Drosophila melanogaster: one gene and its partner. Changing the gene in region 1 together with any one later gene gives a genetic interaction. Each region holds a gene or a part of one and is shown on either strand. Other genes may lie near its edges.

Region 1 (3,711 bases):
CATACAAATTGTTTATAACTTTAACTAGATTTCGTTTGAAAAATTCTTTTACAAATACAAAACCCAAGAAAAGGCTGTGATAAACTGATACGAATAATTTTTAGAGCCTTAACATTCGTTTTTAAATCTTAAAAACGTCTTAAAACAAAAATAAACTACAAAAAAAGTTCCAAGGTTTATGAAAGACGGAAGTTTCAGTGAAGATTACGTTTAAGTATACAAAAAGGGTCACAATAACTTTTAAATACATATTTAAGTAGTTTTCCTGCGTTAACACGTTTTTTTTAAACTGTAGATGGGCGCTATACGCACACACACACACGCATAAGCACCGTAAAAAACACACGCGCGTTGTTGTTGTTGAATTGCGAGTTTTTAAGGGTTTATACTTTCTTGAAGGTTATCCTTTTGGATAATTGGCTCAATATACGTGGATGTATATTGTATTAAACATATTCTTGCGCTGCAAGCAGATAAAAAAAATATACAAAAAAAAAGGGGAAACAAACACGTGTGACGCACACACACAGTTGCACTCGCGCGCACACACACAAACAAAAAGCCGCCCGTTTTTAACCTCATTTCGGTGGAAATGGCAATATTCCGCAGTTTGCCGCAGTAAATTCACAAAACCCTTAGTATCCACACTAGTTGCCAGCGTTTAGCCGTCTTTTGGCCATCCTCTGGCCACAATCCACACAATTAAACGTTGAAAATCCCTTACTTTGTCACAGAAGAAATCGAGATACGATGTCAGCGCAAAGGCAAACGCCTGAAAAAGAACATGTTACGGCAGTGTGCAGCAACGCCAGAGAGTCCGCTTCCGCCGACACGCACACGGTTGCATTCCGGCTGCCAGGGCTGCGCAACAAGTGAACTATCGAACGGAGATAGGCGGCCATGAGTGGGGATTATTCCTCGACTTAATCACTTTTTCGAACGCGTTTGCTACTTGAGTTGCACATTTATATGTACTTCATAGAAATATACCCTGCTTTCAGGCATACTATTAGTTTTAAGCCACTTTTTTAATGACAAATTTCGAACTTTCTATCGATATGCGGCATTTCGCGGTTTTGCCAGTCACAACGGGTGGCGATAGTTGAAATTCGCATGCCAAATTTTCTTTATTACGGTCACCTTATAGAAATTTTGATATGCTTGAGTATTAAATGTTATTATTTCACTGACTGTAAAATAAAAAGTTATTTAAATCGTAATGCATATATATTTATAACATATAGTTCTTTATTTGATTTTGTAAGTGGAAAAAAATATGTGGTATGTAAAGATTATATATATGGGATATATAAAATACACAAAAATTTTACTATATTACATAGTAAATTTAAGGGTGGTAAAACGTTTTTACACGAATACAATATCCAAATACTTTAGTAAAATATATTTTTAATCATAAGAATTTACCCATATTATTAACTTTTCTGGCACATTCTATATCCGATAGTTTACACCTTATGCCTTAGTATTTTTCGGTATTTTCTCCGGCCACACTGGCAGCAGGCCGAAGTTTCTCGTCCAATTGGGATTATTTCGGAATTTCAGTTACTAGCTCGTCATCAAAACAGCAACAACTGTTGAGAATAAAATTCTTGCGTGAAACCGAATCAATAGAAAAACAAATAAAACAAACAAAATGGTTCGCCGTGGACGTTCAGCCAGTCCCCCGCCCTCCACTCGTCGGTAAGACAGTCGCGAAAAACAAAGAAAATTCGGGGGAAATTGGATAAAGCGCCGGCAGGAAATTCATTTCGTAATCACCGACCAATCAATCGGATGATCTGGCTTTATCTCATGGACAGAATTTCACTTCCGCCGCTTTTTCCGGCCCCCGAAATGGGTTAAGGTTACGTAACCTTAAAAATAAGAGGATTCCCAATAACATGGGATGTTTTATTGGTGCTGTCCTCCTAGCGGAAGACCCGCTAAATCTGGCTACTTATTCAATTACGAAAGTGCTCATAAAATCCATTTTTGTAAGAAATTTACTAAATTTATTGTTCTATGTAAATATATATATATATCCCAGGCCATTGATTTATTAAATTAAAAACATCACATGTTTTTATTTTGCGTTAAAAAAGTAAAATATTCAAATGTTTATACAATTTGGCTTATTATAAAGAAAACAAGAATTTGCATAGGAATATAAAAATATTACCTACTTTTGCAGTAGATATAAAATAAAGTCCTTTAAAAATCCTAGGAATTAGTTAAATTTGTATAGTTCATTGTTTTCAACACAAAGACCCTTCAATTTCGTCACGGAATGATCAACGACACTCCAGAGCAAAGTCCACAATAACAACTGATTGCTTCTGTTTTCCCAACAGCACCGCACCTGTGCAGGCCCGTGCCCCCGCCCCGGCCCCGGCTCCTGTCCAGACACGTGCCCCAGCACCGGCCGCCTCTGCCCCTGTTCCGGCGCCCATGAGCGCTCCTCCCAGTGCCGTCGGCATGCCGGCACCGCAGCAGCCATCGATGTTCCAGCAGATGGCCGCCACCGCTGGAGGCGTGGCCGTGGGCTCAGCCATTGGACACACCGTGGGTCATGGATTGACCTCGCTGTTCAGCGGATCTGGCGACAAGGAGGCCGCTGCTCCCGCTCCGGCGGCAGCCGCTCCTGCCCCCCAGCAGCCATACTACGCCCAGCAGCAGCAGCCCAATGAGCCGCAGGGAGCCTGCGCCTGGGAGCTCAAACAGTTCATCCAGTGCGCCCAGGGTCAGGCGGATCTTACCCTCTGCGAGGGATTCAACGAGGCGCTGCGGCAGTGCAAGCAGAGCCACCATCTCCAGTAGAGGGCCCAGCTCCGGTAGAATATCATCTGGCCAAGCACCGGCGGATGAACGCAGCCGGATGAACCCATCGGATGAACACCTCCGGATGAACTCTGTCCTATCCCTTCGTTTAGTTCTTAATTGTTTAATTGCAAGCATCTGAAAGAAAGCATTGTTTAATTGTAGTGCAAAATGAAATGTTAAATAGAAAATCCCGTTGGCAGCCCAAAACCCTTTCCAAAAAAAAACACAAACAAACAAAACAAAAAAGAAACCAAACCCCACGGGTTGTCAATGTGGGCCAAAACAAAACGAAGTTTCCAAGAGTTTTTATTGTTTAAAATATAAATATATGCATAAGTTAATATCAAGTTATAATTGTTGTCTAAACAAGGAGCCAAGAAAATCTTTGAAATATTCATTTTTCAAGAAGCTTCTAGAAAAAATGCAACTTTCCCTTTTCCTCCTTCTGGAAAATGCAAAATTTGCATTCTATTGTGAAATGTGGCTGCATGCGGTTGCCAAAAATAATTTTGGTGACATTGCACTTCTATAAATAGGAAAATCGATTCATTTCCCTATACATTTGTATGGGAACCCCTTTTCGCCTTTTTCATTGTCACGTGTCTTTCATTTCAGCTTTTCTTGTGTTTTGATTGCAATGCGCTTTGTTTTGTTGAAATTAGGTGGTAAACAAATGGGAAATATGATAAACATGTTTACCTACTTGCTGTTTAGTTATAAATGAAGGGTTATATAGCATATATATTCTATTATATGCTATACACATACAGATGTACATATTCATGGTTAAACGAGCGATTAGTCATAGATCTTATTAATGGTCTTATGAAATATTTGCCGTGGAAACGTAATTTTGAAAAGTTAAGAACTGTTTAAAAGGTTCCCTAA
Region 2 (3,614 bases), on another chromosome or scaffold:
AACACCCCTCGGCGCTTAGAGAACCGGCTAGGAATATCTCAAGACGCATTTTAACTTGGCTGCAACGCAGTAGGAAAACTGCCTGCCGTCTCTTTCCTCGCGGCTATAGGCCTGTCTCTCTCTCTTTGCGCAGGTACATCATATTGTATCTGATGAAAACGAAAGCAAAATCCGAACTGGTTTCTTCGAGGGTTGATAAGCCCTAATGGAGGTGGAAAATGCGGAGAAGAGCCGCTCTCTCACCCAAAAAATAAAATATATAAACATATCAGCCGGCACGTAGGGCGGTTTCTATGCTGTGGACTACGTGCTAGATGACACGGCAAAATTGTCCGTGTTTTTCGTGTTCTGGCTCCCTTGTTTACCGTTTACTACTTTGGGGGTCAGTTGGCACCCAGCTAACTCCCACCCCCATCTAGTGTAATTGATGGATTTGGGTCATGCTTTCCCCAATTCAAATATGCTCCTCGTCACATGGAAATCTACTTTCAAGGTCTGTCAAGCTTCCCCATTTAGCCATCATAAATATTAGCACGCTTAAGTATCGACCTTGTGCAGATTTCTAGGTGGGCGCCATCCCCTGTCCCACATCGAGATCATGATCGCCGCAGATCAACACACGTGGCCACCTTTTGTCAACCCCATATCCCTCGGAATGGCCCGTGGCCAATATCCGAATTACGTCGAATCGTGGGCGCCAACGTAGGCAAAAGTTCCTGTAGCACTATTTACATGCGTCCAACGATTAAATATCGTCAACATCGCCCCCGCATAGCTAAAACCGCTCGTGCCGCTGCTTGGATCCACCCTATGCTTGCTGCGATCAGTGGGGCATATTAGTTTGATTCCAAACAAGATATTCCACCTCAAAGAACTTGGGAACTAATAAGGGTTCGATCACCAAATTTGGTGATATGATATATGTATTTCTTTAGATATGTGCGCTAATATTAAACGGCTAAGAAGTCAATGTGCCAAAGAAAAGATATTAAATATGTATGTTTCATATCAGTCAAGTTAAATTTTGATATGAGCTAAGCGTACTTTTGGATTGTGCACTCCTAAATATAGAAATCACGCTAAAATTGCATATCTAAGTAAATAAAGCAAGTAAGTTATGTAAGACGTGTATCTTTTCGTGATAATTATTTCAAAACGGCTCGTGCCAGATAATAATGAACACTTTCCGCCTGAAAAAAAGTGAAATGCTGGGTATCTTTTAGCCCATAAAAACCTGCAATATCGTTGCTCAAATTGCTATGCTCCGCGAGTTCGCACATGCATAGAAGGCACTCATAGCCTACGTCACGATTGCCGGCGACGTGTCTTTATGCTAATTAATGGTATTTCGCGAAAACGAGTGCAAAATAATGGCCCCATGGAGAGAGCGGCAGTACTTCACGAAATTCTGCGGAACACCTCTTGACTCCCAGACAGCCATAGATAAGATCCCAATTGCACCTGAGTCATCATCATTTCCCTAGCAAGATCGACAATAGACTTGGTTTTTAGAAAAGAATGCGATTGGCGTTTAGTGCTGTTGGCTAACTTGTTTACCAATAATATTGCCGTGCATTAAACAATAACAAATGACCAAAGATAAACAAGAGCTCAAGGCGAGAAGCCCCTCAAGACAGCCCCCCACCATCGCTACACCCCTTATCATCTAGAACCTCCGAGGTGTGCAGGCTGCAACAAAAATAAGAACAATAGGGGAATATATTAGAATACGGCAATAACAACAAGAACCAGCCGGTTTGTCATAAACTACGCAGAAAATACACCAGATAAAAACAAAAAACATCAGCCGACCAAGCAGAATAATCAGGCGAGAGAGCAGGCGAAAGAGCGAGAAGAGAGCGAGAGAGAGTAAGAATGGGGGGGTATAAATAGAGCCACACTTCGTAATACCGCCAGCAATCGCCTAGCGAACAGCCAACGGTGAACACATAGCAGCCACACAAGCTCTATAGCTGATACAAGCAACGAAATACAAACAACGCAGTTTGTGTAAACAATCAAATTGTCGCAGCCATATCGAGTGTGCTTACACGTCCAGCGGAAAGTTTTCGAAACCAATCCAATCAATCAGCTAAGATGTCCGCTTCACCCACCGCCCGTCAAGCCATCACCCAGGCCCTGCCCATGATCACCAGGAAGGTTGTCATCTCGGATCCGATCCAGATGCCCGAGGTGTACTCCTCGACGCCCGGCGGAACCCTCTACTCCACCACTCCTGGAGGTAAGTTTCGAAAATTGGAAGCTGAGACTACATCGAGTATTATTAAGTTCCTTCCGGAAAGTGGAGTGATTTTCTTATCATTAGATATGATATCAAGATGAAATTAATCAACATATTTCGAAAACATAAACAAGTATACCGTTTCTTTCCTTTGCTCAAACAACAAACAAGCTTTTGTTTGAGTTGTGATACATTATTTTTGTAAAACTCACTCACCATTTTTTGGCTGATGAAACTGGGCCATCTCGCCGAGTCAGTCAGTTGGAAGATAATCCCGAGCACATGTTCCACAGTTCGTGACTCAGAGTAGCGCGGCAAAGAAGCGTTTACTCAGCTGGCTTATCAGTGGGGAACTTTGAATACCTTTCTGATGCAACGCAGACCACCTTGACTAATAAAAATTTCCGCTTTCCTATAATTCCAGGCACCAAACTTATCTACGAGCGGGCTTTCATGAAGAATCTCCGTGGCTCCCCATTGAGCCAAACTCCGCCGTCCAACGTGCCCAGTTGCTTGCTGAGGGGAACTCCGCGTACTCCCTTCCGCAAGTGCGTGCCCGTCCCCACGGAACTGATCAAGCAGACCAAGTCGCTGAAGATTGAGGACCAGGAACAGTTCCAACTGGATCTGTAGGGGGTGTGGCGTGTACACCGCCATGCAGCAACTGCCAAATCCAACTAGTTCTTAGATGCACCCACTAAAACCGATCTTATAAGCTTAGTGTACCCATTAACTAGATGCTAAGTTCTTAGTTCTTCCACCTTGTTTGTTCTCTCGGTCATATTGACCCCGTTACCTTGTAAAATCGTAGATCTTAAGTAAAATGCAATAAAAAAAAGGCACACATTATTTAAAAGAGAACCACACCTTCCATTGGGATTCAGTAGCTGCCAATTTACAATTATAAATTTTAATTTATGTTTGAGAAATTCAGTGCCAAATTACTTTCTTTATCGGCAATTCAACCTTGGCAGGCCACGCGTTATGTGATAGAACACTTTCCACTTCACCTTGAGTCAGTTTCGGTTTAGTAGTATTTTCGGCAGTTTGTTGAACTGTTTGAACTGTTTACGAAGAAATTTAGCGAAAGGGGGCTTTTTGGGGGGCGGTACACATGTTAGACAGCTGGAAATACCGGCCGGCTTTTTAGTTAGCCAGTCAGTCAGTGGCCCCAGCAGCGCGTGTCCCACTTATTGCAAAGATATGCATACATATTTATAATGTATCCAAAAACCGGCAAACAAACGCCACAAAAAAATAGATCTTTAAGAAACTGCGCAGTTGGGAAACGACCTCGCCTTTGGCCCCCGCCCCGCCCTTTACCATTTTTCTTATATATACAAAAGTAGTGTGCTGAGCACATGTTCGTTCA

What was found. A genetic interaction does not mean that the proteins touch.
Region 2: of Chchd2 (region 1) and Thor, changing one suppresses a phenotype caused by changing the other (phenotypic suppression), as found in Drosophila melanogaster (one study listed by BioGRID).

What each region holds. Positions count from the first base shown.
Region 1 is NC_004354.4:17,147,480-17,151,190, forward strand, and holds Chchd2 (Coiled-coil-helix-coiled-coil-helix domain containing 2), read left to right. Parts: upstream 1-1,521; 5' UTR 1,522-1,657; coding exon 1,658-1,704; exon of another isoform or gene 1,705-1,997; intron 1,998-2,354; coding exon 2,355-2,820; 3' UTR 2,821-3,168; downstream 3,169-3,711.
Region 2 is NT_033779.5:3,476,519-3,480,132, forward strand, and holds Thor (thor), read left to right. Parts: upstream 1-1,915; 5' UTR 1,916-2,097; coding exon 2,098-2,242; intron 2,243-2,666; coding exon 2,667-2,875; 3' UTR 2,876-3,094; downstream 3,095-3,614. UniProt on the Drosophila melanogaster protein: Repressor of translation initiation that regulates eIF4E1 activity by preventing its assembly into the eIF4F complex. Hypophosphorylated form competes with eIF4G1 and strongly binds to eIF4E1, leading to repress translation.